6 separate regions of the Mus musculus genome follow, and all the other regions are reported to be linked to region 2. Evidence: microRNA targets listed by miRTarBase, many of them from high-throughput screens and not tested one by one. Region 2 holds a microRNA gene; each other region holds the end of a gene's coding sequence. Distances are from middle to middle.

What was found. The annotated mature microRNA mmu-miR-692 reads AUCUCUUUGAGCGCCUCACUC and lies in region 2 at 2,828-2,848, shown strand. An mRNA with a match to its seed (bases 2 to 7 or 8) in the 3' UTR can be bound and repressed. Matches are read on the target gene's strand: a 7mer-m8 pairs with bases 2 to 8, a 7mer-A1 pairs with bases 2 to 7 and ends in A, and an 8mer does both.
Region 1: miRTarBase lists Pirt as a target of mmu-miR-692. Seed matches in the 3' UTR shown: 7mer-A1 at 3,986-3,992, 7mer-m8 at 3,193-3,199, 8mer at 2,595-2,602, 8mer at 2,577-2,584 and 7mer-m8 at 2,572-2,578.
Region 3: the mRNA of Phactr1 is a reported target of mmu-miR-692. Seed matches in the 3' UTR shown: 7mer-m8 at 556-562 and 7mer-m8 at 568-574.
Region 4: the mRNA of Nhlrc2 is a reported target of mmu-miR-692. Seed matches in the 3' UTR shown: 7mer-m8 at 3,873-3,879.
Region 5: the mRNA of Slc7a13 is a reported target of mmu-miR-692. Seed matches in the 3' UTR shown: 7mer-m8 at 3,970-3,976.
Region 6: the mRNA of Ppp6r1 is a reported target of mmu-miR-692. Seed matches in the 3' UTR shown: 7mer-A1 at 1,057-1,063 and 7mer-m8 at 1,114-1,120.

The regions. Positions count from the first base shown.
Region 1 is chr11:66,925,504-66,930,733 of GRCm38, reverse strand. It overlaps Pirt (phosphoinositide-interacting regulator of transient receptor potential channels), which reads right to left. Exons shown (of 2, transcript NM_178656.3): 2 at 2,034-4,895. The coding sequence starts at 4,869. The coding sequence ends at 4,462. All of the region lies in intron 3 of Gm12298 (predicted gene 12298), which reads left to right. Among named protein-coding and RNA genes, the nearest start is that of Pirt, 16 kb to the right of the region's middle.
Region 2 is chr13:74,404,294-74,409,523 of GRCm38, forward strand. It overlaps Mir692-3 (microRNA 692-3), which reads left to right and starts at 2,772; the gene lies at 2,772-2,880. Gm41004 (a long non-coding RNA gene) reads right to left here. Exons shown (of 4, transcript XR_873675.2): 4 at 4,693-4,793. It also overlaps the pseudogene Ftl1-ps1.
Region 3 is chr13:43,134,753-43,139,982 of GRCm38, forward strand. It overlaps Phactr1 (phosphatase and actin regulator 1), which reads left to right. Exons shown (of 14, transcript NM_001302635.1): 14 at 422-3,774. The coding sequence ends at 437. Among named protein-coding and RNA genes, the nearest start is that of Gm15813, 15 kb to the left of the region's middle.
Region 4 is chr19:56,596,679-56,601,908 of GRCm38, reverse strand. Nhlrc2 (NHL repeat containing 2) reads right to left here. Exons shown (of 11, transcript NM_025811.3): 11 at 3,063-4,653. The coding sequence ends at 4,397. Among named protein-coding and RNA genes, the nearest start is that of Nhlrc2, 51 kb to the right of the region's middle.
Region 5 is chr4:19,840,689-19,845,918 of GRCm38, reverse strand. It overlaps Slc7a13 (solute carrier family 7, (cationic amino acid transporter, y+ system) member 13), which reads right to left. Exons shown (of 4, transcript NM_028746.3): 4 at 3,706-4,579. The coding sequence ends at 4,328. Among named protein-coding and RNA genes, the nearest start is that of Slc7a13, 25 kb to the right of the region's middle.
Region 6 is chr7:4,627,889-4,633,118 of GRCm38, reverse strand. Ppp6r1 (protein phosphatase 6, regulatory subunit 1) reads left to right here. Exons shown (of 24, transcript NM_172894.2): 21 at 1-60; 22 at 520-630; 23 at 722-778; 24 at 875-1,624. The coding sequence ends at 878. Tmem86b (transmembrane protein 86B) reads left to right here and starts at 2,637. Exons shown (of 3, transcript NM_023440.3): 1 at 2,637-2,897; 2 at 3,317-3,563; 3 at 4,366-5,079. The coding sequence starts at 2,847. The coding sequence ends at 4,748.

The sequences.
Region 1 (5,230 bases), not on the chromosome of region 2:
ATAGGGCCTACAGAGGCCAGAAGAGGGCATTGGATCCCCTGGGACTAGAGTTACAGACGGTTTTGAGCCACCATATGGGTACTGGGGATTGAACTGGGGTCTTTTTGAAGAGCAGCCAGTATTTTTAACCACTGAGCTCTCTCTCTCTCTCTCTCTCTCTCTCTCTCTCTCTCTCTCTCTCTCTCTCTCTCTCTCTCTCTCCAGGCCTAGAGAAAAGTAAAGAAAAGATGGGGACTGGTGAAGGGAAAGTTCCAGAAAAGGGCAAAACCATAATGCTGGTGTGTTGAAGGTTGGATTTCTGAACAGTGTAGACAGGCAGAAGTGTGGGGAGCCCTTGATCCCCCAACCCGGAGCATATGTTCCAAACATGCACCTATGTCGGAATTTGAAGGCTGAGAGGGATGGGTTTCAGAGAAAGACTGCAAAATAGAGCAGGACCAGAGGTCAAGGTGGACATTAACTTCTCCTACTAGCCTGTGAGCAGCCCTCTTTTCTCTTGCCTGGTCCTTCTCCCATTAAGTTTGATGTGAAAACCTGGTGTATCTGTATTCCAGAGGCTGGCTTGGCAACCATTATCCGAGCACCCCTCCCCCCACTCTCCCATGATTATATTGTGTTATACCTGAGGATTCCCTTGTCTTTCTTCTCTGGGGATTATCCTGATCTTTTTTTGAGGTCAGAGCTTTCATTATGCATCCAGGTTTGGCTGTGGGCTTGGGTAATGGAAATGTTAGCTAGAGATGTGTGAAGAAGGGAACAAAACAAAGGAGGGGTCAGAGCCTGAGAGGTCACTGGTGCAGCTGAGGCTGCAAACGGTTCCCAATGCAGCCCAGGAAAAACACACTTCTGAACCCACTGGTGTTTTGTCATTTATTGAAGACAATTCCAGCTTAGTATGTGTGACTGACTGATTGAAGGACATTGACAATGACTCCCCTCCCCCCTCTTTACAGTCACTTTAGTGGCTTTTCCAGAGGAACCTGCAGGGCAGTGGGAGATGGTCTCATTTGGGGGTACCCTTTAGTGAACCTGTCTTCCCCTTAGAGTATAAGACCTAGATTATGAGGTGGCCTGGGGTTCCTCTCATTTGTACCTGCAGGTTGTAGGAAAACAGAGCATAGTCCTTCTCAGACAGAAGTCCTTCCTGCAGACCTAAGGAGCTTGGTTACAGAGTGAAAGTTCTGGCTTGGGCCAGCAGAGTCTCTGAGGCTGCCTGGGACTGTCAGAATGAAGTCTCAGGCATGGACAGCTGTCCTCACGAAGGCTGAGCACAGATAGGCTTCTAGGGAGGGAGAGGAGAGTAAGCTCCAAATGGATCCTTTCCTACTTTGATTTGCATTTGGAGCATCTCTCCTGAACCTAGTCTCTGCTTGCTTCATCCAGACCACAGATTCATTCTGGAATGTTCTTTCTTCAGGTTAAGTTCTGGGTCTCTGTATTGGACTTGTGGGATCCCTCTGCACCACCATCGTCTCAGAGTAGTCGCAAGGATGCTTCTGAGGAGCCATGCATGAAACTGGCTCTGTTTTTATTCTCCCTGGCAGCCCTCTTGAGAAAGGAAATGTAGCAATGAGGGTGTAATTTAGAAGTGGGCAGGGGTGAAGGCAGCCTTGGAATGCCTGGTAGAGAAGAATGAATGAACATGGCAGGTACTTTTAAACAGAATACAGTTCAATACGACATTGATTCCATTAGGCGTTGGGTTAGATTAAATTCTCCAAAACAGAAGAGCGACAGAAGCCCGTAATACAGTCCGGTGGGATGGTGCTGTGGATGTTGCTCTTGTCTTCTGAGATGACTGAAATCACTACCCAGAATGCTTTGTTGCAGAGACACGGCATCCAACCCGGCTGCACTCACAGGTTATCCCCACCCCAGTTTTCATGAGGCAATGGTCTTTGGCAAAATTTTCCAAGATGTTGGGTGTGACTCTGCTCACTTCCTGACTATCACTTTTGTGGGGAGTTTGGTGCAAGGCCGGGGGAGTTAACCAGTATTTGGGATATTTTCTCAAAGGCTCTTTGATTTTGTTTGCTAAGTACTTACCTTGAGGGGCAGGGGTTGGGGAACAGGTACTGATGTGGCTATGAAAGATGTCTAGAACTTGAAGATTTCCTGGCATCGTGATTATCCCCAAACTCCCTTCTGTTGAGACATACTTGAAAGTGAGATCTGCAAAGGTCTTCCCACAGCTGTGCCCAGACAATGAGCTCTCAGGACAATGAGGTGCATGGGGTGCGGATTCCAAGTGAGCTGGCTGTGAGCTCATCTGTGTGTTCCCTTTCATGAAGGCACAGAAGATTGAGAGGCTCCACCCCAGGGCTGTCCTTCCATGTCAGGAGAAAGGAGTGGTCTGAAAGCCCTGTCATGGAGGCATTAGACATTCGTGGAAGCACTAGGCAGTATTTCAACAACCCCAGGGTTGGTCCTGAGCTGCCTGTATTCAGGGAATGGGTGGACTGCAGGGCCTGGGCTCGATGATGTGAGTCTTAATGAGGAACATGATATTCTTAAGTGAGCTTTGAAAGGCCACAGGCTTCCCAAACTCTGACTTTTTAGTTAGGGAGTCAGTCTCTTTCTCTTTCTTTCTTTCTTTCTCTTTCTTTCTCTCTCTCTCTCTCTCTCTCTCTCTCTCTCTCTCTCTCTCTGTGTGTGTGTGTGTGTGTGTGTGTTGATTCCACAAAACAAATACTTCCTCCGAGGAATGTCCCACAATGCAACAGGAACAAAGGTGGTGGATTCTAACTGCCTATAGAAGTACTGTGAATGGTTGAGATATCTGGAGACCTGTTGGAGGTTGTTTGCCATAGTGTTCCCAAATGCCCAAAGGTTAAGGATGAAGAGTCAACCTGAACCAATGCAGCTCTTGTCATTCACTTTGCTACTAGGTACCTTCCTCTGCTCTCTGGCCTGGCCTTGCCTGGAACAGCTTTGGAAATTTCTTATAGGTGCCCGGTCTTTTGCCTAAAGGTGTCTTGGTGACTATAATGAAGTTTTGAGGGTACTTACCTCTTGGGTTATATCTACTTGTTAGGCCCTCTGGAGATGCCCCTCCCAGTCCCTATTGACCCCAGAAGCCTGCAGTGTACCAAGGAGTAGCTGGATGTAAGGTACCTGGGGAAGCAGGGGGGAAGTAGGCAAGAGAGGATGGAATAGCATCCGGGAGCTATGCGGAATCCTAACCCCACCCTGTCTCTTTCCCCTTAGCTTCTCCACATGCAAGGCAGTTGCTGACTACCTTGCACATCTTGCTCATTCCAAACACTTCCTTCCCCTTCATATTCAGAAGGGGTGAACATGGTCTCCAGAAATCTATCTTCCTGTACATTTGTTAGATCCATGTGTTCCCATGGCCACCCTAAGAACTCAGTATGGAGTATTGCCAGTTGGCTTGGCCATGTTTTTCCCTCTTTCACTTTTGGAAATAAGATGACATCAGAGACTGGGTCTGGCTGTTCCCAACCTAGGCCTAGAGAAGGAAACTCAATAAATACTTGCTTGTTTGGTAGGGAGGAACAGGGAGGAGGGAGGCTGAGATTTCCTTTTTTCCAGTGAACCTATCTCTAAAACCCCATGCAGCGTGAGTCGGACATGGCATTCAATTTCAGGTTAGGTCTTGATTGACAGGAGAAGGAGATGATCTTACAGGTCACATCTGTGGCCTCCCGTCCTTCTGTTCTGGAGCTGTGTAGACGCAGAGATGTGGTGGGGAAGGAAGTTAGAACAAAGAGCATTTGTTCTTGGCTAATTGCTAATATAAAGGCATTCTGCAAGAAGCGCATTGGAGGATCAAGGGGAAGTGTTGATACCTCTTAGCCTGCATATTGCCTCTTGTGCCAATATCATATATTTAGGAGCTAACTTCCTTCACTGTATAAGTTCCAGACTACTCCCAGAGGAATGGTTTACTCTAGACAGTGTTTCCCTCACCCCCAGCCCCATCACTGTCCAGATTTTGGAATGTGTGATACATGAGACATATCCTTTCTCTTGTAATGTTAGTCAATGTCCCATCCAAGGAGGGAGCCAAGGCTGTCAAACCCAATGGGACTGAAGTCAGCCTTATCTGCTTGGTCACTTTTGGTTCCAGAAGGATGTAGATGGGAATCTAAGATCAGGCACACAACCGTAACATACAAGTTCTCCTTGGGAATGTAGTCAACCCCCAAAGAATTTCCTAGCATGCACACATTGCCCTTGGCAGAGAGAATGGGATGGCTGATGGCTGAATGCAGGTGCCAGGGATGAGGGTAATGAAAGTATCCAAGGGCACAGCATCCACAGCTATGGAAACCAGGTGAGACTCAGTCAGCAATGCTGCTAGGTTGTATGAGGGTGAAGCCCTGAGCTCTATCCTGTCCACAGGGCCAAGAGGAGGGTTTGCCTGGATCAACTTTGTGGTACCCGAAGAGAAGGTAGGAGGCTGCTTATTGGTTAGCAGATCTTCTGGACAACCAGTCATCAGCGGTTCAGGAGGAAGAACTTGAGGCTTTGGAAGAAGTTGGACTTCTGCCTTTGCTTCTGCTTCTTTTTGATTATGGGGACCCACACCAGCCCACACACCAGCATCATGAGTCCCAGGGACAGGAAGGCAGGCCCTATCATCCTGAGCACTTGCACAACTTTATGCTTCTCTTCCAAGATGTAGGCCACACAGGTGATGGCCACGCCAAAGAGCAGAATGGCAGCTCCCACTGACATGATGATGATGGGCTTGTGGTAGATTTCCCAGTTGCTTTTGGGTGTGGTGGTCCAGACAGACTCACTTCTGGAACTGATGCACAGGGAGCTGGCTGTCTGGCTGGGCAGCAGGTCCTTGGACTCTGGAGACCTCTCGTCTACCTCCAGGGCCTTGGGGAGCACCTCCATTGTTGTGGCTGCTCAAGAATGGGCACCTAGTATTGGCGACAATTAGGAAGGATGGTGAAGCCAAAGAAATCCTTTCAGATCCTTCCTGAACCCTATGTCCTTCTCCAGCCTGGCTCTCAGTAGAGGGGAATACAGTACATACATGTGGAAATTAATGGTAAACCCAGGTAAACTCTGCATAAATAAAAATCACCACCACAGGAAGGCAACCCAGTCAGGGAAGATGGCTCAGTGGGTAAAGAGCTTGCCATGCAAGTGTGGGAGCTTGCATTTGGATCCCCAGCACCTACTTAAAAAGTAGGCATGGTAGTATATTGGGGTAGAAGCTGGAGTAGAGACAAGAGAGTCCTGGGAGCTTCCA
Region 2 (5,230 bases):
ATGGCGCTTGCCCTTGGGATAGGTCTCTAATTGGGTGAGTTTTTCTTGGCCATCCACTCCATCTCTACTCCAGCTTTGCCCCTGCATTTCTTTTAGACAGGACAAATTTTATTCTTTGTGTCTACTGTGTCGTGGTTGAAACTGATCCTTCTGCTTTCTTCTCCTGCTCCCATACATTCAGCATGTGGACTCTGTCCCCAAAACACATAAGATACTGTAGTAGCATTCGTTATTCAATGTTAACCTATTTTTGAAGCCTGGTGGTTTATATTTTTAATTTTATTCTTTTTGTTTTTGCTTTTCAAGACAAAATTTCTCTGTGAAGCCTGTCCTGTCCTGATAGTACTTGTAGAAACCACATAAGCCACCTTATATGTGTTTGTACAATAAGCATATGCTTTTGTGCAGTTCTTCATCCACATCTTTAATTTTGAAATTTGTCCAAATTTATAGGTTATATTCTATTTCTCACGATGGCATAGGTTCGTGACATCAATACTACCCGAGCCTTTAGAGTCATTGGATTGCAGGTGTATGACGTTCTGCCTACCTCTTGTGTTTGTTCTGAAATTTTTGAATAAATAGGAGTATTTTGCCTGTGTGTATGGATATGAATATCATGTGTGACTCATCTTTACTGTTGTCAGAACATGGCTTCATAACTCCTGATCTTGAAGTAATGGGTAGTTTTTGGTCCCATGTATATGCTAGAAATTGACCACCATTATGTGGAAGACCAGCAAGAGCTTTCCACTGCTGAGCTATCTCTCCTGTCCTATGTTGCTTATTTATGATCAACATTTATATTACTAGTATTTTCATCTGTCCATTTGTAACTGTTTAAACATGCATTCCCTGTTAGTAAAATTTTATTAATGTTGCAGTTTAAACTGGTGTACTTCATATTTCTGCAAGATAAATACAGAACTGCAGTGAATGTATTATTCTTTGTAGGAACTTCAGTAAAAAACTGTGAGGTTTTGTTTGTTTGTTTGTATGTTTCCATGGTTGATATTTTCAGGGAAGTGAGAATCTTAATATGTAACTTTTGCTGTCCTGGAACATGTTGCATAGACCATGCTAGCATCCAGCTCCATGACATACACCTGCCTGTGTCTCTGGGATTAATGACATGAGCAAAAACACCCAGTTTGTCTATCACTTACGTAGTTAGTAGTTGTTCATACAATTTCTCAGATGTGTGATCAGTACTACTGATCTGTTTGCCCCTGCATCTCTCTCTCTTACTTGGCATTTCTCTTGCAAGGCTATATCCTATTCAAAGGGTTCAGAAGCAACACAGGTGAACCTTATCATTCAAATTCCTTCTAAAATGACATGGTGATTAGATTACAGCTTCTGTGTCGGGAAATAAGTGGAGGAAGCACCAGAATTATATCAATATATTGTCAGGGAAGCATCCATTTACTTTTCAGTGATGTCAGTATCATGCTTTGTATTGTACACATGTATGGGATATTTTAGGATGCAGTGACTTGTGATGATGTGCGTGTGAACTTCACTGAGGAAGAGTGCGATTTGCTGGATCCTTCCCAGAAGTCTCTACAAAGATGTGATGCTGGAGACCTACTGGAAGCTCACTACTATAAGTAAGACTGTGAATTCTCTTTTCCTTTCCTAAATAAGGAAATAAATGTTTCTTGGTTATTAATGATATTTTGTTATTTCAGTAGAGAACAAGGAAAATTGAGATGAAAAATGAGGTTCAATACTGGGAAAATTCACAGTAGCTTGAATTTTGCCTAATTTCCAAAACCATGTCACTCATTTTCTGGTATTGTGTTTTAGGCTACAATTGGGAAGACCATCATATTGAAGAACATTGTCAAAGTTCTAGAAGACATGGAAGGTAATTCTCATGTGCAAGCTGATACAAATATGCCTCTGAGGAAATTTTAATATATTCTGGAAGCTCTAAAGATAAGCAAGAATGTAACGTATCAGTCCTTTTAAGTGTGGCTATGATTAGAATATTCTCACAGATCCATGTACCTCAATGTCATTTACCTGATTTGTGTTTACAAGGCGTTCCTCTAGGAAAGAGGGCAAGGTAACAATCAATACCTTAAGAGATAACTTTAGGAGCAGCGCCTTGGAGGTCCCGTGGATCTGTGTCTTGCTTCAACAGTGTTTGAACGGAACAGACCCGGGGATTCCCACTGTACTCGCTTCCAGCCGCCTTTACAAGTCTCTCCAGTCGCAGCCTCCGGGACCATCTCCTCGCTGCCTTCGGCTCCTAGGACCAGTCTGCACCGTCTCTTCGCGGTTAGCTCCTACTCCGGATCAGCCATGACCTCTCAGATTCGTCAGAATTATTCCACCGAGGTGGAAGCTGCCGTGAACCGCCTGGTCAACTTGCACCTGCGGGCCTCCTACACCTACCTCTCTCTGGGCTTCTTTTTTGATCGGGATGACGTGGCTCTGGAGGGCGTAGGCCACTTCTTCCGCGAATTGGCCGAGGAGAAGCGCGAGGGCGCGGAGCGTCTCCTCGAGTTTCAGAACGATCGCGGGGGCCGTGCACTCTTCCAGGATGTGCAGAAGCCATCTCAAGATGAATGGGGTAAAACCCAGGAGGCCATGGAAGCTGCCTTGGCCATGGAGAAGAACCTGAATCAGGCCCTCTTGGATCTGCATGCCCTGGGTTCTGCCCGCGCGGACCCTCATCTCTGTGACTTCCTGGAAAGCCACTATCTGGATAAGGAGGTGAAACTCATCAAGAAGATGGGCAACCATCTGACCAACCTCCGCAGGGTGGCAGGGCCACAACCAGCGCAGACTGGCGCGCCCCAGGGATCTCTGGGCGAGTATCTCTTTGAGCGCCTCACTCTCAAGCACGACTAGGAGGCCTCTGTGCCTTCCAAGGGGCTCCCCCCTCTGCTCTGCACCAGCCCGCCCTGGGACCTCCACCTGAATGAACCTCTCAAGCCACTAGGCAGCTTTGTAACCGCCCTGGAGCCTCTGTCAAGTCTTGGACCAAGTAAAAATAAAGCTTTTTGAGACAGCAAAAAAAACAAAAAAACAAAAAAAAAAAAAAAAAAAAAAAAAGAGATAACTTTATTTATTTGTAGCTCCATTAGAGCTATGCTGTGGAACTACCAATCTGTATAGTCTCATGATATTTAGAAGTTGCACATTGAATAGTGATAAGTATATATCCAAAACCTTTTAATAAACAAATAGTCCATGGTAAAGTTGGTAATACTCATATTCTTGCAGACTCATTGCTAAATTTATTGAGAGGTCAGTTTATGAGAGTCAAGATTGTTGTTGTGGAAAAACCTTAATCCACATATCTAAAAGGAACAAAAATTCAAATTTTGTGAATGCAATGTGGAAACCTTTCATTTGTTATTCTTCTTCTAATGGGTATATCAAGTGTCACAATGGGTAAAAGCCTTGTGAGCATAGGGATGTTGAAAGAAGCAAAGAACATCTTTCTGTTTCAGAACAATTAGAAGTTATATAGTTTTCTGCCTTTGGTAGACTATCTGAATATGATAGAAGTTTGCAAATTAATTGGTTTTCTGACTTTAGTGAAAACATACCAAAGTCATACTGCAGAAAATCCCTATGGCTAATGGAAATTTGGAAATTCTTCTGTTTGTCCTGGTTCACAGTGCAAATGTGGTGTGATTCACACTACAGGAAAAATTATGAGTAAAATCAATGTTTTAAAGCTCTCAGTTGTTTCATTTTTCTTCAGATATATGAAATACATCATATAGAAATCTCATATAGAAAAAGGATGTTATAAATGTGAGTCATGTAATAATACTCTTACCATCACAGCATTTTCTTTCATTTTTTCTTTGTTAGATATTTTCTTTACTTACATTTCAAATGTTATCCCCTTTTCTAGTTCCCCCCCAAAAAATTCCCTATCACCTCCTCCCTCCCCCTACTCCCCAACCCACCCACTCCCATTCCTGGTCCTGGCATTCTGCTATACTGGGCATAGAACCTTCACAGGACCTAGAGTCTCTCCTCCCATTAATGACCGACTAGGCCATCCTATGCTACATATGCAGCTAGAGCCACAAGTTCCGCCATGTGTTTTCTTTGATTGGTGGTTTAGTTCCAAGGAGCTCTGGGGGTACTGGTTCATATTGGGGCTTCAGACCCCTTCAGCTCCTTGTGTACTTTCTCTAGCTCTTTCATTGGGGACCTTGTGCTCTGTCCAGTAGATGATTGTGAGCACCCACTTCTGTATTTGCCAGGCACTGGCAGAACCCCTCAGGAGACAGCTATATCAGGCTCCTGTCAGCAGGCTGTTTTTGGCATCTGCCTAGTGACTGGGTTTGGTGGTTGTTTATGGAGTGGATCCCCAAGTAGGGCAGTCTCTGGATGGTTGTTCCTTCAGGCTCTGTTCTGAACTTTGTCTCTGTAACTCCTTCCATGGGTATTTTGTTCCCCGTCCTAAGAAGGATTCTGAGCTTCTGGGCTAATATCCACTCACCAGTGGGTACATATCATGTGTGTTCTTTTGTGATTGGGTTTCCTCACTCAAGATGATATCCTCCAGATCCATTCATTTGTCTAAGAATTTCATAAATTCATTGTTTTTAATAGCTGAGTAGTACTCCATTGTGTAAATGTACCACATTTTTTGTATCCATACCTCTGTTGAGGGACATCTGGTTTCTTTCCAGCTTCTGGCTATTATAAATAAGGCTGCTATGAACATAGTGGAGCATGTGTCCTTATTACATGTTGGAACATCTTCTGGGTACAGTATTTTCAAAGAGGCAAACAACCCATAATGAGTGAGAACACTGTGAATATACAAAATGATAAAAACTTAAGATATGATTCTTCTTTATTATTAGACCAAACTGTAAAAGTAATTCATATTGATGGAATGATTGATCAGAGTAATTAATACAGTAAGGCTTTCACGTGTGCCAATTATCGTTGCAGGCATGTAAGAAGTCATAGTGGAGGGAAACCCTATGAATGTAATCAGTGTGGTTAAGCCTTTGCAAGACCCAGTTGTCTCCAATATCATAAAAGAACCCATACTGAAGAGAAACATGAATGTAATCAATGTGGTAAAGCTTTTGCAAGACCCGGTAAACTCCAAAGACATAAAAGAACACATACTGGAGAGAAACCTTATGAATGTAATCAATGTGGTAAAGCTTTTGCAAGTTCCAGTCATCTCCAATATCATAAAATAATCCATACTGGATAAAAACCTTATGGATATAAT
Region 3 (5,230 bases), 31 Mb from region 2:
CTAATGTCACCTGGGAAAAATGAGCCACAGAAGGAAACAGCTACATGGCATGTGTACATGACGAGTTAGAGACTAAGCCTCTGGCTTTTCTAATCACTCCTTTGGAGAACATGTGCAGAAATAGGGGTAATCGATGTCCGACTCAGACACACGGTTAGGAGCTCCATCTTGCTGCCATTCAGGAGTCCCAGTGCAGCCACCCAGGTTGGACCTCCAAAGACTCCAAACTAAACCCTCTTAGGTCTCTAGATGAGTTCTGTGGAGTTTGAGAACTTGGGGTACCCCTCTGTGTTTGTGTCATGGGTGGGAAGTCACACCGGCATCACTGTCACAGCCCGGGTATCTGAGAATGGGAAAACACTGTTGTGGGGTCTGGGCCTCTGACATCCCCTGAGCCTTGACAACGTTTCTTGTTCCCCAGGTTTCATCGACCTTAACAGTGGGATTACTCTTGAGTGCTCTGCTGTCTTCAAAACATAAATTTCTAAGAACCATAAGTGCTGGCGTCTGTCCACTTCCCCGTTACCATGTAAATCCGAACTGCCTTTTTTTAAAAAAGAGAGAAAGAAAGAGAGAAAGAAAGAAAGAAAGAAAGAAAGAAAGAAAGAAAGAAAGAAAGAAAGAAAGGAAAAAGGAAGAAGAAAGGAAAGGAAACACAGCCAGGATTCTGTGTGCAGGAACACCATGGTGAGCACTCCTCAGCATTGCTGGCACCACTTCTGCTACAGAAAGGTGACCCGGCCCCCCGAGACAGGGACCTACCTGAGGATTGTCCAGAAACCGCCTTGTCCCCTCCATCCAGACCCAGCAAGCACCACATTGGTTCAGTCTTCGGTGAACCCCTTCCTCACAAGGGACTGTTGCCTGAGTCCAAAGAAGCCCAGGGCTTGACATGGGAATGGCTAGGGTGACAGTCATAATCCAACTGTCCTTCTAGACGTGGTCAGACACATGGGCTCCAGATGGGGCATCTGCTTTGGGGGCCCTTGGGAAGGGGGTGACGACCTCTCAGTCTCCTCCACACATACACAGGCACACCCACGCACGAACATGTGCACACACAAACACACATGCTTTCTCTTCAGATTTGTCCTGGAGGAGCCTGTGTTGGCACTTCAGTCATACCCATGTGTGCTGTGGGCATAGGAGGCTAAACCTGAGCGTCCACTTTGACCCCCATCCCAAACTGAACTGCCTTCCAGAAGACTCTGGTAGGGATAGTAGACATCTGCTCAGTTCACATTCATTGACCAGTTTGTGTTCACAAAGCCCAGGGCAATGGGTGATCTAATGCTTTAATGCCCTTGCCAAGGTTCCCTGTGATATTCATGAGTGTGAACTGACCAGGGAGCCATCAACCCCATGGGCCACAGTTTTCTTTGACCCTGTAGCACACCTGGGCCAGTGGTGATGTGGCTTGGTAGTTGATAGCTTCTGAGTACCAGTGTATGGAGGCCAGTGCAGGGGACCAATATCCCACTGTCATTCCAGAGCCTTCCACTCTTCTGTCTTTGCAACTGAAGAGTTTCTGCAGAGAGATGCACATCTCAGCAGGGCTAGCACTGGGTCAAACTTTGCTAGCCATGACTACCTGTAGTGTCCCTTACTGCCCCACTTACCCAGAGAGACCCTGCTCTCTCTCTCTCTCTCTCTCTCTCTCTCTCAGAATATGCCTCCAGGCACCCTGTTGACAGGGCCCCCTAAAGGTTGAGTGTGTACTGAGGGAAGGGCACCCTAGATCCTAAGGCGGTCTTCTACAGGGCTGTTTTTCTCCCTAACCAAGCTCACAGACCCTTGGGTGCAAGGTTTCTGCCGCAACCCCCGTGGTGTGCCCAGCTTTCGGAGTCACTACGGTGTCACTAAGTAACACACCTGGCATTTAGAAAGATGCCAGCTGGCTAGCCTGACCAACCACAAAGGAGTTATCCCCTTGTCAAACTGGTTGGGACCATGGTACTTTTAGGATACAGCCGAAACAAGGCCATTCAATTCTCCGGAGCGTTAATGGCTCCGTGACCAGTTGCTAACCCAGGAACCAGAGTTACAGGAAAGCTTAGATTAGCCCTACAGGTAGCGCCATGCAGCTGCTGCTATCCTGGTACCGTCTGGATGGGGCACACCTCTGTCCAGACCAAAGACAACACCATGACTGGGTCTTTCTGTCATCGCTGTCATCATCATCATCATTATTTGAATGTCAAGAGAGGTATTCAGGGGAAATGTGGTGGGGATTTTAACATGGCTGTAAATATGGTCTTCCCAAAAGGCTTACTGACTTTTGAATGTGTACATGGTAGGAGGAAAGATGCAGAAATCTTTCCTTGACCTTCCCTAGGGTGAAGGATAGGCACATGTTCTAGGTGGAGGTCCCTGCCCTGCAGGCCTGAGGTCTGAACTTCCTCTAATTAGCAGCTGTGCTGCAGGCTGCTGAGGTGGCCTGGCCTGACAGGCCTTCCCCAACCAGGAAGAGTCCTAAAGAACTCCTCCCACAAAAGCCCATGGCTTCCCCACCGGCCTTGGTTCTAGGGCCCTTCTGATTGCCTGGGAACAGAAATCCCAAACTCACCTCCGTCTCTGCTGCCAGCCAGCAGCCTTCCTTGTTCCCTGCCAGCTTGCCCTGAGATGGCCCACCTCTTTACATATGGAAGAAACTGGACAGGATGCCCACATGGCTTCCTTCGGGGTACCCTTTTGCAGAAGTCACTTGCTCAGAGTTAGGGGTGTGCCTCTCATGCTCCTAAAAGGTTACCACCTTTGGGGCTGGGCTATCTCAAGGCCACGATAAGTGGTTCTTAGCCAGGCTCAGCAGCCTCCCCAGCTGTAGGATGGGACTTCTGCTCTCCTGAAAACCTGGGCTCAGGCTTCAGGGAGCTGTAACTACACACTTCCCCCACTTTGTGAGGACAACTGAAGTGACTTGAGTAGTTTCCAAAGTTGACAATTTGACATTAATTAGGGGGAAATAGAAGGCAAGGGAGTTGGCTTGAGACATCCCTTTCTGGAAAAGCTGCAGTTTTCAAGTGAGTTCATCTTGAGCCTAGACAGTCCCATCTGAGTACCATGGAGTTCGGGTTAGCAAGAAAGGAGAAAACTAAATGTGTCAGATCTTACGTTTTTTTTTTTTCTCTCAAAATCAGGCACTGCTGGACCCCCACCCCCATCCCTGTCCGCTTCCCCGACAGAAGAGCCTGCCATAAATAAACTGGCTCTTCCAAAATCCTGATCACTTCATTCCCCAGACCCCTTCAAGGCCCTGCCAGGTTTTTAGAACGGGAGCCTTTCTGCCCGTAGAGAAACCAAACGACTCCAGGGTCAGTGTGAGGAGATACTCCTAGTTTCTTTTTCTCCTGCTTATGAACATGTATGCGTACTTTTGGAATGAGCATCGTGATGTGTCACTCCGATGAATGGGATCCCAGGTTCTCCCTGCGCACGGCCAGTGGGCAGGTGTCACCTTTGGTGACTTCTTCCTCCCATGAGTCTCTAAGTAGGTTGCTTTCTCCAATTGCTTCCTGGTGTCTGTACATAGTTCGTCTTTGTATAGGAGTGATTGTGGTGACCGTCGCTCCCGCGCCCTCCCGGGTTCTAACTTAACAGATGACGGCCGTATGAAGAAGATACTGTACATAGACTATAAATGAAACTGGATCTCTGTGGCCTAGGTTTTGTATATACAGAAACTGCATGGTATTTAAATTATTGTTTCTCTCTGATGATGTATGCAGTTTCTTTAAAAACAAACCAAAAAAAAAAAGTTTAAAAAAAAAAAAAACAGCTTTGACTCCTGTGTTGTTTTCTCGCCTGGCAGCAGGGACCACCAAATATAGTTGGGCTGGGGAAGGATTGTCAAAGAGGGAGGGAGGGTGGTCACCAGATTCTGGGGAGACCAGAAAGCTCATGTTTCTGACGGTACTCAGGGTGGGGATGGGGGGTGGCAGCATTGCCGCACATAGATGAACTTTCTAGAACATTTATATCTTCAGCCATTTTTGACATTTCAAAACTCTCCCAACCCTCTGTCCCTGACAGTCTGGGGAGAGTGAATATAAATTAGCCTTTAGGTAAGTCACTGAGGGGTCTTGGCAGTACAGATATTAGATAGCTTTATAGCATTGGGGGGTGGTCTTTGGGGTACCTCTATATCCGAACAAAAGCTGTATATTTCTTTGCCTTTTGAAAACTGTGGACCCTCTATATCTGAAGATTCAACCACTTTTGGATAAAAAATATGGGGGAGATCCCATCTGTACTGAATGCATACTTCTCTTATCATACGGTATGGTGCCTACTGACCCCACAAATAGATTGCATCAAGCATAAGAGAGGATAGGATGTCTGTGATGTTTTGAATGTGCTTGGCCCAGGGGGTGGCACTATGAGGAGGTGTGGCCTTGTTGGAGTAGGTGTGTCACTGTGGTCATGGACTTAAAACACTCACCCTAGCTGCCTGGAAGCCAATCTTCTCCTAGCAGCCTTCAGATGAAGATGTAAAACTCTCAGCTCCTCCTGCACCATGCCTGTCTAGATGCTGCCATGCCCCCACCTTGATGATAATGGACTGAACCTCTGAACTAGTAAGCCAGACCCAATTAAACGTTGTCCTTAATAAGACTTGCTTTGGTCGTGGTGTCTGTTCATAGCAGTAAAACCCTAACTTAGACAATGTCCAAAAATCACAGGTAAATAATGTAACCATTTTATACTAGGGACTTGAACATCCCCAGATTTGAGTTGGGAATGACCCTGGACTTCCACAGACAGACAGACAACTGTATATATGCACCTGGTTCTTGAGGACTTGGTATTTGCCCAAAAGAGCAAGCATTATCTCACATGACCTGTTTTCATCAGAAGGTGCTAGGGAAACAGAGAACTGCTGCTTACATGTGCGAAGCTGATGGATGGGTCTCCTGTTCTCGACCCAGTGATGTGAGAAGGCGGCTCTAGGGGGAAAGCGCAGCAAGGGGCTGCCTGCATTGAGCTTTGTCGAGGAATCACCTGTAAGTCTTCTTGACTCACAGGCACTCAGTAAGTCTAGATGCAGCTGGAGTCCTGTGTTGGGCAATCTCCGAGGACCTGTGCTACAGCTGGGCTAGGAACCACACTTACGGCACAGGCTTCAGAAAACAGGCCGCTTGCCATGTCCGGGACCCCTGAGTGGGTACAAGAATGGCATGCTTGGCCTCCAGTCTCCGAGTCTCCCCAGGAAGGCAGGGAATCACGCAGCAGT
Region 4 (5,230 bases), not on the chromosome of region 2:
GGAGACAAGGCTGATTAGCCACAGAATGCCACCTCGCTTGATTACCAAGCCTCTAACTTTAACGACCATTCTGTCTATTACCCTAACGCAAAGAAACTGGAAAAAGGAAATTCTATTAAGCCAGGTTAAAACAGTGACTCAGGCGAGGGCTCATTCTTCATGTCGGCTTTGAAACACGGGTGGAAAAAGCAATCTTGGTGATTATCACGCAGGTCTGCCTCAAGGTATGTGACTCTGTCACACTGTCATTTCTGACCCATGTAGTGCGCTGCTCACTGAACCATAGTACTGCTTCACGACCACACTACTTCACAATGGACAGACGCTGCACTGGGATGCCCCTAAAAACCACCACTGGCACACGCAGGACATCTTGTCTCACACTGCCACGCTGATTTCAGGAACAACTCCTGAGTCACCAGGGAGCCTGCACAGCAGACCATTAAGGCTGCAGGAAGGCAGAGGACTTTATTCCTCTACACCTCACTTGGTTCACAAAACACACTGTGTCCGATATGGGTAGACGTCTCCAGGCCTGCACCAGCCATGCTCGTTATGGTGGACTGGCTGCTGGGACAGTCCTGTTGAGCTAACTGGGATGTCTACACATACTCCTGCCAAGAAAAAACTGTGGATAGTCACTGAAATTAAGGGCACAGAAAATCCTCTGGGAACCAATGATTATATAGACCATTCCAAGGCCCAGATGATAAGAATCTATGAGAAGTCATGTAAGTTGAATGACTTTAATGAATTTAAATGAATTTTACAAACACGCATTCCCAGGGCTCCTGGAATCCTCTGGACTGATAAGTTACTACATGAAGGAATGAAATATGTGACCTTGCAAGTTTGGGAGACGACAGAGTAGGCAGTGGGGCAGACAGCTGTCCACTTCCTCTGTGTACACTCTTAGTGCTGATGTGACTGTTCAAGGAGGAGGGACTCTATCCTAAGGCTGTTGTGAGGATTGCGTGTGGTCAGCACACAGAAGGGAAACTCCCAGCAGGGAGCGAGAACTCAATGAAGGTAAGCCTCCTTCTGCCCTCGTCTGAAGGCCGGGGGGTAGGTCCCCACTTTCCACACTGTAGGGAGCCTCGGTTAAGCTCTGCTGCTGTCAGCCAGCACCCACATACTAGGTCCTGTTCTAGGCACTGGACGCTACCCCAGGAGCTTCGTACCCAACATGCCGAAGCAGCTTCCTTCTCTGGAACATTCACACCTAGTCTGTAACGTTATTCTCAAGTACTTTGAAGACTGCAGAGGGCACCGCCCCAGGGTGAGAGCACCCACCAGGGCACGCAGGTTATAATCTGAAGATTCTTGTACAAGCTGTTAAGAGTGTGGTGTGTCTCCAGCTATGTCTGGATCCTCTATGGAAAAGCCGTATTCATTAAAGCTCCAGAAGGCCTTTTTAAATACTTCAATACAGTAGAGAGGTGCTTCTTTATAAACAATATTGTTTATGAAATGGTAATACATTCTACCATAAAGTGTTCTTTTTCTTCTCGAGCCCAGATTCTACTGGGACTGCTAACATGTCAAATGGTGGAGAAAGATTTTGCTTTAGAAACTGGAGTTGTAAAAAAAAAAAAAAGTCAAGCCCATGTCTGTGGCCATAAATTATTGTCATTATTAGAACTAAACTGATAAGTAGCAGTTCATAAATTACTCCCTGCTAAATGCCGTGGGAGCATTTTACTGAAGCCTGGCGGCAAGCCCAGGCTTGGTCCAGCAGCCCAGCTCTGCAGGGCAAGACACTGCTAGAGTCTATACTCCTGCCACTATACCATGCTAAACAATAAAACACCGTAATTATCCCTGTCCTCACCAACTACAATTTTAAAGGAAACTGGTAAATGAAAGGACTCTAAATAGACCCCCATCTTTGGTAACAGAAGTGGCTTTAGAAAAATTATTAGTGCTTACAATTCAGATTATTTTAGTATCTTTGAGAAGATTAGATTACTCTCTAAAGTACTGGCCATTGAGTATTCTCAGAGGTAGAATTTCAGTGAGACAGCACGGGCTTGCTCATTTAGAGCTTAGGTGACACGGCCCCTGCACGTGGCTTTATGTTACTGTTCACTACAAAACATAGCTTTTCGTGATTTCATTTTCCTCCTGAGGACTGAACCCAGGGCCTCTGCGCACGGCAAAGAACCATCTTCCAAATGAGTTAACAACTCTGATCTTTGCCAAGCCAGAGGCAAAGGCAGAAGCTGAAGACTTTTCCCTGGATGGAGAAAGACAGTCAGTTCCGCGTATGTGGAGAAACCATGGTTACACATGTTCATTAAGTCCTAGATTTCCCACACTGCAAAACAGAGGCCCACATAACCTATCTCAGTGGTGTGAGCCCCAAGGCAGACAGAGTTGTCTCAGGACAACTACAAGGCTCTCAGAGAGGACAGGAGACGCTGCAGCTCCAGAAGTGCTGTGACCAAGGTTTCCTCCTGGCAGACACTGTGTCAGTCCTGACCCTAGGAAAGCGCACTCTGCTCACTGAGCACCTTCTCCGTCCATCCCCACTAACATTCTGCTGTGACCAGCAGTGCAGAGAGGCAGGTGGGTGGGGTGTGCAGCCACCGAGATCCCCGCAGTCACTGAAGACTCAAGTAAGATCCTACCCAGGCAAAGGGAAAATCAAGGGAGTTAAAGAATATTTTGGGATTTTTAAGGTACATCAAACTACAGAATACATGCTTGTATTTTCAGAGTGAAAAATAATTTCCACACAAGCTAAACTGTATATACCCTGTTTTAGAGAGTGAAACTGTTTATGTCCTCAAACAGGAAATGACTGAACCAAAATATTCTCATCCCGTCCAACTGGAAATAAACGAGGAATCCAACAAATCAACGAGGGCTGCGGCGCTCTGAGGCCCTCCACAGACCACCAGCTCCAGGCTGGAGCTGCAGAGCCGCTGCCTTGGCTGGTTCTAGGTGCAAAGGTTTCTGAGGTAACCACGGGCAACTCTAAACAGGACCCCTCCCTTTCACGTTCGCCTTGCTCCTGAGAAACAGCATTTCTAAGTTAATAACGGAAGTCAGCAAGTTTTCACTTCAGATTTTTTTTTTTTTTTAGTTAACTGAACAATAAAACAAGCAAATGTTACCTATCAAAAACTACTGCAAAAATTAACTAATAAATAGGTAGACTATGCTTAAATGCTTATTAAATTTATAGGTGGGGCTCAGACAATGCTTCTGAAACCTTGTAGTCTTAGTAAAACACATGTCCACTCAGTTTTAGAAGAGCAAGGCTCTTAAACAGTTATGATGATAATCTATGATAATTCAAGTTAACAATGAAAACCAAACCTCTCCAGGATCCCTTCCAGTGCTGTTTCTTACGGGGTTAAAGAAAACACATACCAAAACAGTATCAGTAAATCACTGTGTGTTTCAGCCCTAATATTTTAAATGAAAGTGTATTAGTATAACTATACCCTGAAAATAGCAAATTGAAGGTTTACATGTGATTTTTCAAAATATCAGAATTAATGATCATAATTTAAATTCTAAATATGGGAACCAAAACAGTAACAAAAATCTCAAACCCAACAATTCTGTTACTTAACTCTTAAAACTGACATCTAAATTTCCAAAATAGCATGATGCTCATGACAGCCAGCCTAGCCACTACAATAACCCATCACACACAGCAACACAGCAGTCTCCACCCACACCCAGGTCAGCATGCCTCTGGGAGCCAGGCATTGCCTGCTAGGAATTATGCTCATTAAATACAGTTAAAGGTAGGTCTGCATGCCTTTAGAAATTCTATATTTTTCTTTTTTATATAAAGTTATAAGGCATTAATAATAGAATGTTAAAACAAATAATTTATAATAAAAATAGATTAAAACTCTCTTTTAAAAATACCTCAAGTGAGAAAAATCACCGGAGGTAAGTAACTACTCATACACGCTGAGTTTGTGCCGAGTGAATACTTTCTGTTCTGGCTTTAAGCAGACCTTAGACACTAAACAGCAGGTATCCTGACACAAAGGCGCACAGCTTAGGCCCATCTCAAGTTACTGGAAATTTACACACGAATGGATAACCACTACTGATAAAGGCAGGTTATTTAAACTATCTGGCATGATTAGTTTTGACTACAAATATAATACTCTCTGATATAGCATGGACTGTTGCTTTTAAAACAAATAACAGCAAAGCTTACAGTGCCGTGGTAAAATGATGGTCAATGACTTGGCTAGCACACAGCTAAAATGAAGAAATTTGTTTAGAATTAAAATACTAATAAGGAGCACAGCTTTATTTTGGTATCAGTTGTTACAACTGAGCAATGGGTTACTATAATGCTTTTTCCCTAAGCGACGAATGGCAGGATGGACAGGGCCTGTGCTGAGGGCTGCTGGCCAGCCTTCTAGAATGCGTATGCGAGCTCTACAGGAGCTGCACAAGCTGGCTGGGTGCTGGTTATCTGCAAAGGCTGCCTGAACACGACTCCCTTCATCATACATGCGCTGCTGTCTGCACTGCAGTAATAAAGAAACACGACGACAGACACCACAGCTTCCAGTGACAAGCAATGGGTAGGAATCTGCAGGGAAATCGCCGGCTGATTGGAAATATTCTCTATGTCTCCAGATGGGGTCTGTTCTTGAAGTAGCCATTCATTGCCTAGAAAACAGGAGAGAATATTAAGACTATAAAAAAAAAAAATACAAGAGGCCGAGGCACAGCGATGGGCAAAGTGTGAGAGACAGAATTCAGACACCTAGAACTCACGTAAGTGCTGGGTCTATGTGACGCCCATCTGAAATCCCCACACGGGAGTTGGGACAGGGAATCCCCACAGCTGTCAAAGTATTCAGAGCAGTGAGCTCGGGGTTACTGAGACATCATTTCTCCGTATTTTAGGTGGAGAGAGATCAAAGAAGACACATGGCATTAACCACATGCATGCTCAAACATGTGAATGTCCATGTATACATACATGTGTGCTCATACATGTGGACACACTCACATGCATAATACATACACATATATTGAAAAGACACAGGTAGGAAACTTCTAAGGGAAAGAGCCTACATCAGCGCACGTTTGGTGCGAGCCCGAGTGCACACTCTGCTCTGACAGTGTCTGGGAGAAGAGAGCATCCCAGAGGACCTCTGCACTTCATTACTGCAGCTCCTGCCCTCTGTGGAATCTCCTAAACTGAAGCTGAGCATCACAGGCCTGGCTCTTTAGGGCATCA
Region 5 (5,230 bases), not on the chromosome of region 2:
AGTGTTACAAATAAACATATAAGATGGAGCAATTGATTATAACATGGTGATACATACCTATACACCACACGCACACACACACACACTCACACACACACACACACACACACACACACACACACACACACGCATGCATGCGTGCATGCATAGATACAAGTTATCAAATTTCAGACCAGGAAGAAGACGCTGTCAGAACAGGACACAAGAGGAATGAATAATTGTTTTCTGGGACAGTTTGTCTACATTTCATAATTTATCAGTTTGCTTATTTCTGATGCAGATATAGAGAATGGGTAGACAAGGTATCAGCTACACGGTACCAAGGAAAACTGCAGCTTTATCTTGGGAGCTGTCTCTTGGACAGAGTGCACCTTTATGGTTAAACATCCTTGACGTGGCAGGTACATTCTTTCATTGCCACACATGCAGATGAAGGGTCTGCTTCCTCAGAAGATCCGTCCTCACTGTCCTCACTGTGACATCATGTACCTTGTGGTTTTTATTTCACCTTGTGGAATTTTCAAGAAAATGTGGGGAAAAAATTCCTTGAAAAGTGAGATTTGGATGACTGTGGTTTGAGAAGTAAAAGAGGGACATTTTACCATTATGAATAAGTTATCCATCTCATGAATATTTAAAAGCATACTAAAAACAACAACACATTGAACATTGAGTGGAGAGAGTGGGTACCCTTTCTTATACCATAGGACCCTGGGAAATATAGCAAAGCCTTGAGAGAGAGAGAGAGAGAGAGAGAGAGAGAGAGAGAGAGAGAGAAAGATAGATGGGGGGGGGGAACCCTTGGGACACATTCAATGACTGTGCCTTTTTAACAGCAGTGTTCCATGAACGGCTTCCCTCTCAGCATAGTCATGCGCCCACAGTCTTTCAACAGGTTTCCTGAAGAGCAAGAAAAGGATCTACACCATTAGCTCCTTCAAAGCCCTACTTGTAAGATTCAGCCTTCAGCTCAAAACATTTAAACAGAACTCATTTACTTCTTTCTAGGAGGCTTCCTACAGATACAGTAATTGCTTTATGTCATTTGAAGTAACTTTCTGCTGACCAAGCATCGAAAATGTCAGTGATTCCAGCTACTGTTTGTTTTAATAAAATGTAGTGGTATGATCTTTCTTCCTTTCAGCCCCTCCACTGTGCCTCCCATGATCCTTTTCAAAATCATGGCAGCTCTTTCTTTATAAATAGACAGGTAGGTAGATGATAGACAGACAGACAGACAGATGGGTGTGCCTGAACATATAAATACTACCTATTCTATCTCTTTATTGTTACTGGTACAGAAATGATTTCAGAGCTGATGAGTACGTATTAAATAATAATTAGGGGAGTCTTCCTAGGGAAAACTGTTTGTCTGGTTCTTAGCACCCCTTAGTCGCCTATAGTTCTTCATCTAGGGAATTGAACTCCATGAGAGTTCCCTCTTCTAATTGGCTTGTCTATTGCTGTTGTACTTGCTCAGGTCTTGTTAAGGGAGCCATGTTGCTGAGCTATCATGGGTGAAACTTGCCTGCCATTTCCAGGAGACATAATCTCACAGCAGTCGGGCTCTGCTTTGTAAAGTACAACATCTGCAGAACTTGCCATCCAGCCTTTAAAAACCTCAAAAGGAGGATGGGCTTTGAGGGCAGGTGTGACGTCAGAAAGTATGTAAGCCAGAATCTTTCAGTGAAAAGCACTGGGCATGTTTCCTGTGAGCAAAAGAAAATATTATCTTTCAGTGATACATTTTCCTTTATAAATACAGAGCTGTTGTGATAAGATTGGAATCAGCAGTCAATGAAATTCTAGGTGGAATTCTGTTTAGACTGAGTAAGAGCCTTGAGAACTCAGAAAGGAAAGAGAATTACAGAACCCACTGGCTTTTATGAGGAACAACTTGTTCTGGTACATTTCGTTTGTTTTAATGAGTTCTGTTTATGGCAATGCACTGAATGCATATTACATAAATTGAAACTTGATATTAGTTAAATATGTAATATTATTAGATAAAATTCCAGACAAGGTGAAACAAGCCCTAACATTAATCCAATGCAAAGAACTTTTTTCCAAGGGGCTCCAGGGACTTCCCAGGGTACAACAGAGCCCTTTATCAGCAGGAACACATGCAGTGTTCTGTGGAAAGTTTATATCCTGGCATTCTCCATGCTATCTTAAGATGCTGAGTTTTCCACGGCATTCATTTGGGCACTATCCCTGTTTCTTCTAGCAATTTAGAATAATAAATCGTCACTCCATACCCTTGACACATGTGACTTCTCTCATCCATTCACTTGACCCAGACATTTGATAAAGGCTTGTTCTACATCTACTATTCACCTGTTTTGGTTTTTTTTTTTTTTTTGATTTTGTAGAACATTCTTTTCTACCTTTGTGAAGGTCTCTAATTTGCATAACCTCCACAGGCTAAATCATGTTAAATATGATTGTTTAAAAAATAATATAAGCCGGGTGTGGTGGTGAATGCCTTTAATCCCAGCACTTGGGAGGCAAAAGCAGGCAGATTTCTGAGTTTAAGGCCAGCCTGGTCTACAAAGTGAGTTCCAGGACAGCCAGAGCTACACAGAGAAACCCTGTCTCAATAAAATAAAATAAAATAAAATAAAATAAAATAAGGATTTTAGTTTAACATAATATTTGGCATTTACCATGTGTCAGTCACTAACTATATTTTAGTCTATGATTTCATTTAATTTTCACTTTGAGAAAGCCTATTTATAGTTAGGTTCATGACTGTAGTCTCAAACCTTGGGAAGCTGAGACAGCAGTGTTCTGAGAACAACCTAGGGTTCACAGTGAGAACCAGTCCAAAAGAAAGACACCAACACAACTCAGGAGTGTTTAGCTGGTTTTAAAGGGAACGGTTGTTAACTTTCATCACCGTTGGTTGAGGTTTGAGTGGGAAGCGGCCCCGCAGGCTCAAATGTTTGCAAGCCTGGTTCCAAGCTGGAAGAACCGCTTGGGAATCAGGTGGAGCCTGTAAAAGGTAGCGTCTTGCTGGATACTGTGGGTTGATAGGAACCAGCTTTGAGGCTGCATCAGATGACCAGGCTGCTGTTCACACTCTGCTTCCTGGACAGCAGACTGTGACAGCCAGCATCTTCCTCCTGCCACCATGCCTTTCCTGCCTGCTGCCTTGTCTTCCTGACCAATGAACTATGTCCTTCTGGCACTAGCCAAAATAAACCCTTTCTCCTATTAACTACATTTGTCAGGGTATTTTATCATAACAACAGGAAAGGTAACTAACGAAGTCCCTAAGAACACTTGACTTGACCACTTTTCCTGGTTAACATAGCTTGGGTTAAAGGTGAAAAGTTGGTAAATGTGTATGTGTACTAATCTGTACTAGTTTTCTCTGTTGCTGTGATAAAGCACTGGCCAAAATCAACTAGAAGAAGAAAGGGATTTATTCTAAGTAACAGGTTAAAGCACCTCATTGGGGAGCTAAGGCAGGAACTGAAACAGACTCGTCTCTAAATCCAGTGCTAAGGAGGCAGGGCAAGAGGTACACTGAGCCGAAGCTGGCTTGGGTAGAGTGAGAGCCTCTCTCCAAAATAAACAAAAAACAACAAGGAAAATACAGATTAGGGTTTTTTCTTTTGTTACCCCTGTGTTTTGGGGGTTTTTTGTTTGTTTTTGTTTTCTTTATGCTACTAAAAGAGAAAAACTATTGAGAGAATTTTTAATTTCCATCAGTAACTTTTATTATAAGAATACATTCAGTAGAAAATCGATGAGATAAACAGAAGAATGAGAAAGATATTCTTACTACATGAAGCTATACAAGCTAGAAATTTTATTTTTAATAAAAACAGTTTAGTTATGTGAAATACTTTCTTTACTGTCTTTCTTTCCTCCTTCCTTCTTTCCTTATTTCCTTCCTTCCTTCCTCTCTCCCTCTCCCTTTCTTTCTTTCTTTCTTTCTTTCTTTCTTTCTTTCTTTCTTTCTCTCTTTCTTTCTTCTTGTAAATGTGCATGGGTGCCTACATGTATGTCTCTACTCCAGATGCATGCAGTGCTGGTAGAATCCAGTAGAGGATATTGGATCCTCTGTGACTAGAATTACAGATAGTTATGAACTTCTAAGTGGGGCCTGTGAATTGAACTTCAGTCCCCTGGAAGGACATCTGGTGCCCTTAACAGCACAGTCATCTACCCAGCCATTTCCTTTGATATTTTAAAAACTAGGAATTTCCTGGGTACTTTTCTATATACCATTTCAGTTTATAGCATTGCCATCATTACTATTTTAGCTTACACTTAACCTTTATCTGGAACACAGTATGGCTACAAAGGCTATTCTTCCTCAACTTTCTTCATGTATGTGGTCATCAGACACATCAGGGATGCAAATATTAAACAGTAACTGCAGATAGCAAGTCAACTTCTGAAACCAAACGAACTTCACTTTAAAGTGTATCAATGGCACGTAAAACACCAGCCCACTGAGAAGGAAGAGGAACACATAGATATAATGCAACTTTGGAGACTTGACAAGCGGGATCAAAACCAAGCTCAGGGTGATGCCCAACGCTATGAATGTGAACGGTAAAAACACCTGAAAAGACAAAATTGGAGAAAGTAGTTAGATGTGAAAATCCATAGGTGGTGGCTGAATATTCCCATAAGTAAAAGTAATGGGAAGCTGATGATAGAGAGCAGACTACGTCAGCTTTTGAGTTAGATCAATGGTCTTAGGACTCATGATGTCACAGTGAAAGAAAATTCTGGAGATTTCTCAGAGAAGGTGCTGATTGAGGGGGCATCAGAAGCTTGGACTCTGCATGAGTAGAGATGGTCCTCAGCATATGCTGATTAGTATGAACACCTGCAGGCCTCAGTGGAATGACCTTATTCAAAAGGAGTGTCTAGGCCCACTGGGGTGGGGGTGGGGGTCCGGGTAATCTTCCATAGGCAATATTTCAAATCACTGATCAAGTTAAGAGAAAAACTACTTTGGTAATCAAGTTAATATCAACAGTTAAATATTCGGATTATAGTTTCACATACTAAAAAAGGAATATATTAAGGCAGAAAATTCCTTGTCTGAAATTATTTTTTGTTTTGACAAAATATTAAAGATTAATTCTTGGTACCAGGATTGTGCTAGAAATATAAACATCCCACACTTAATATTACAACATTACTCTTGATTTTTTTTTCCCTCGAGGGTTTCACAAAGTAGCCCAGGTCATCTTTGAAATCATAA
Region 6 (5,230 bases), not on the chromosome of region 2:
TGTTGCGGATGTCCAGGCCACACTGCATGGGATGCGCTCTGCCCCCAGCTCCTTGGACAGGTGACCATTGATGTCCCATCTCCTGGAGGGGGGTAGGGGAAGCCCAGCCTCCTTGCCGAGGTGGGTGCTGGGCTCTTGTCCCTACTGTCCTTAGCACTAAGCTCTACCTTGAGCTCCTGTGTCCTTGTATCCATTCCTTTTTGTAATTAAATGTTTTGGACAATGGCACCTAAAAGGGCTCTTGTGATCCCAGAGTTAAGAACAGCTTCCAAGAGGATCAGGGACCACGAGAAGCAGGACTGTGCATAGCCCCAGAAGCGTATCCTGCAGGGGGATGACCACTGAGAGGAGCTGGGTATAAGTTCTGGTTTCCCCCTGTGGCTCTGCAGCCCCACTATGCTCTGCCATCAGTATGCTCATAGGCTTTTTTGTTCTGAGATTTCTTTGTTACCCAGCCGTGGCCTCAGGCAGGCAGTGATATGGAATATCTAACAGTATTCAAATTGATCTCTCTTACAGTGCAACCAGAGACCCCTCTACCTCTGTCCCAGACTTCAAGGCCCACCAGTCTCCTCAGACCATGGAGGGGAAAAGGAGCCCAGAACATTTGGGGCTTCCCCAAAGCCAGAGGTGAGTTAGTCTCTCTGGGTGGTGTTGGGTGGATGAAGCAGGGCTAATAGGGCAAGAAGTAACCTCCATGTTTCCTTTTCTCCCCTAACAGTGCCCTTGAGATGCCCAATGGCTCTACCCCAGGAGGGCCTATTTCATCGGGTTCCCAGTGAGTGTGGCAATAGCCTTGGGTGGGTCAGCAAGATGAGGTCACTGGACCCATGTCCATGGTCCATGTGACACATGTGTTTCTCTCTGTTTCCAGGTAGCTGCCTGGTGACAGTGGTGGCCAAATCCTCTGTCCTCCCTGTGGAATCCCTCTGTGGGGCAGGATGAGTCCTTTGGTGGCCCTCTACTCTATTGTCCCACACCCTACATTCTCTCCTCTGGACTCCCAAGGAGGCTGGTGCCAGGGAGATGCCCTCACCCACCCCCATTTGCACTGAGAAGAGAAACTATGGAGTTTTGTCTCCAAGAATAAAGATAGAGAGTCACATAGAAAGGAAAGAGAGAGAGAGAGCGAGAGAGAGAGAGAAGTATATTATATATTATATATATATATATATATATATATATATATATATATATATATATATATATATATATATATATACATATACATATATATGTTGAGGGAGGAGTAAGAAAGAAAGCCAGGACAATAACTGGGCCAGCAGCTCTGAAGCACACCTTCCCCGTCTGTCCCAGTAGGGGCTGGCGCTGGGGTTGGAGGCCGCTGGCCTGTGCTCTGGTGCAGATGCTCTTACCCAGCTTCACTCAGGACCACCTTGGGGTGTAACAGAGGGTGTCATCCGGCCCCTGGCCCTGGGGAACATCCCTAGAGGCCCAGAATGGGGGTTGCTGGGTACCCCATGCCCTGAGGGTTCCAGCACTGCTGCCAAGTGGCCTTGTCCCAGCTCCCCCTGCCCCCCCCAAGGCTGGTGTGAGTGTGCAAGTATGTGTGCAGAGCTTGTGTTTCATACTGCAGATATAAATAAAGGAAGATAGCAGAACATTCCTGCTGTGGGACTGTGAGTTCTGGGACTCAGAGTTGGGTGAACTTGCTCTTCATAGCCTAGAGAGCTACATTCTCTTAGGACCACACTTGTGAGAGTGTGTGTGGGTGTAGGGGATGGGGAATACTTAGACATCAGGCAGAACATCAGGAGTTAGCACTCTGGGGCGCTCTCATCCTGATATGTGTACCTCCGTGGCCCTGTTCCAAAATGCAGATCAGTTAGGGCTGTGCTGACTCAGCTCTATCCTCTAACAGGCCTGCTAAAAGGAGCAAGAGGTCCCTGGACTTTGGAGCTGAGCGTCCTGCCATTACGGGGATAGGAGGCACCAGGCATGTGGTGGTGGCAGAGGCAGAGGCAGGTGGATCTGTGTGAGTTCAAGCCCAGCCATGTCTACAAACTGAGTTCCAGGACAGCCAGGGCTGGGCAGAGAAACCCTGTCTCAAAAACAAAGGTGTGGGGGCTGGTGAGATGGCTCAGTGGGTAAGAGCACCCGACTGCTCTTCCAAAGGTCAGGAGTTCAAATCCCAGCAACCACATGGTGGCTCACAACCATTCGTAACGAGATCTGACTCCCTCTTCTGGAGTGTCTGAGGACAGCGACAGTGTACTTACATATAATAAATAAATAAATCTAAAAAACCAAAAACAAAAAACCAAAGGTGTGGGAGAGATTAGGAGACAGGAAGCTCCCTTGAGAATGGACATACAATGAAGCATCCCTAAGGGGGATGGTTGAGGAACCTAGTAGTTTCTTGGCATCCAGTAGGTCCCTATCTTGTTCATGGGAAGGCTGCAGAACATGAGTGTACAGTGGTGTGGTCGTCCTTCCTTCCAGGGAATGTTTGAATGACTTCAGGCACAATGCAGGATTTATTTAACCAGTGTTTGTGGCAGGACCCCTGTTTTCCAGGGTTGGTTGTAGGGCTACCCCTCTGTGGAACTTTGCATTGTTCCTTATAATTGGCTGGGTGTGAGACAATGGGAGTTCCACTTTGGGGGAGGGGGCTCACTTTTGGAGGTGGTGGCCAGGTTTCTAAGTGCTGGGGGGTGGCCCTTGGTGCCTGATGGGTACCTTATCAGCAAGTGCCAGACAAGAGCAGGCCTTGCGTGAGCCCTGTTATCAGCCCCAGAGTCCACAGGACACTTGGGTTAATGTGTAACCACAAGACTTCCCTCTGCCCTCTGAAGCCACTGGCTCCTAAAGAGAAGCAACTCAGCATGGATGCTAGAAAAGAGGGGCTGCCCCTGGAGACACTCTTTTCAGACCAAGTGAGAACCTGTAAGGTGGGGATGGGCAGGTCTGGGAACATGGGCAGTACTGGGGCCTGTGATTCTCTATGCTTGGTGAGTTGGTGGGGATGCCCTGTCCTTCCAGGAGGCTGGGTTCTAAGGTATCGTGGTTTTGTCCTTGCAGGAGATAGGAATGAAAAGGTTCTCAAGGTGGCTAAAGATCCTAGTCCCGAAAGTCCAACCTGGACATGCTTGGGTCCTGGCATGAGGGTGGTGTGGGGGATGGCCGTTAAAATAGGTTCTCACTGGGTATCCTAGACAGGTTTTGAAATCAACAGCCTCCCGTTTCCACCTGCTAAGTACTGGAATTAGACATTTCCTACAGTGCCTTGCAGTGACCCCTCCCCCAGGACTGGCTGCGAATGGGAGGGAGGCTGAGAAGCTTCGCTCTCTTGAAGTACCCACAGGTCCGCAGGTGGCTGGCCCCCTTCATCCTTGCCTGCTCCCTTTACTTCCTCCTCTGGATTCCTGTGGACCAGCCATCTTGGGTCAGTGCCCTGATCAAGTGCCAGCCCATTCTCTGCCTGGTTGTGTTCCTGTGGGCTGTGGCCCCTGGTGGGAGCAGCACCTGGCTCCTGCAGGGAGCTCTTGTATGTTCTGCTGTGGGAGATGCCTGCCTCATCTGGCCTGAAGCTTTCTTTTATGGTGAGCAGGGGCTTCTATGACAACACACCTAGGGTTCTTGTGGAGTTGAGTCAGTACTGGGACACAGCTTTTCATTATATGGAGCCCTCCCTCCCTAGGTCCTCTGGGTTATCCAGAGGTGCCAGAAGGCAGTGATGGGTGACAGCATAGCTCACAGTTCAGCCAGGGGCTTGGAGTCAGACTGGTTGGAAGATGTGGGATTACCTGGTTGGAAGGGGTGGTGTGGAGAAAATTAAGGTGTAGCATGACTGAGGTGGGTGGGGGAGGTAAGGAGTCATTTTTGAGATGTCTATATATGAGGGCTGGTCTGAATGGCCTCAAATGTTGGATCCTCCTGCCTTAGTTTTCTCAAGGGCTAGGATTACAGGAATAAGGATATGTAGCTGTGTAGATGGGAAGTGTGGCCATCCTGGGCATGGAAAGTGCATGTGGAAAGGACCTGGGGTAATAGTGTATGAGTTACTTTGTCCAAATGGGCCAGTTTGGCTAGAGTAGGATGGGGAAAACAAGGGTATGGGGCTTCCCAGAACACGATTTGGAAAGACAGGTACTTGAGCAGAGCAAGCACATGATGCCATGCATCTTAAGGTTATCACCATTGCTTTGGGAACTGATTGAACACCCAAGGATAAGAAGAATTTGGAGACCCATCAAGAAGGAGTGCTATAATCAGCAGATCACGATGGAGCTGGTGCTTTGGGGGCACTGTTCATGTCTGGTTGTGGCCAAGACAACAGGGAGAAGCAGGAGGCCAATTGGTGCCCACCCTACCTCACTGAGTTCTCATCCCTCTCTTCTTCAGGCACGGCAGCCTTCTCTGTTGCCCACTTATTCTACCTCGGGGCTTTTGGCCTGACCCCACTGCAGCCCGGATTGCTGCTGTGCACCACCTTGGCCTCTCTGACATACTACAGCTTCCTCCTGCTACACCTTGAGCAGGGCATGGTCTTGCCCGTGATGGCCTATGGGCTGATCTTGAACTCCATGCTGTGGCGCAGCCTTGTCTGGGGTGGAAGTGCTAGCTGGGGTGCTGTGCTCTTTACATTCTCAGATGGTGTGCTGGCCTGGGACACTTTTGTCTACTCTTTACCTTTTGCCCGCCTAGTGACCATGAGCACCTACTATGCAGCCCAGCTCCTCCTCATCCTGTCGGCTCTCAGGAACCCGGGGCTCAAAACCCACTAATGCAGGCCTCAGACAGCCTGGTATCCCCTCCCATAGGGACCTTGGCTTTCCACACTGACCCAGCCTGGCAAGTGAATGCTTCCAGTCATATGCTGACAGATATGTGGCCATCTTTAACATCTGTATACTGTTGGCAGAATTTCAGATCTACCACTGATTTCAAACTGCCTTCCCTGGCTTCTTCTGGATTCCAGGACCCTCAACCCAACCCATATCCTGTCTTCCCCTCCCCATGCCCACTTCCTTTTCCCAGTCAGCCTTTCCTATCCACCTGCCCCTTCACACTGCTCCAGATCTGGTTCTAGCTGTTTAAGTAAAATGAGTGTTGGAACATCAGTGTCACCATTATTTGGGAGGAATGTATAGGGGGATGATGACAGTTCTAACAGCAAGCATGGATTTAGGGGAAAAAAAATGATTTAGGTGTGAGTCTTAGGGTTTCTATTCCTGGATAAAACATCATGACCAAGAAGCAAGTTGGG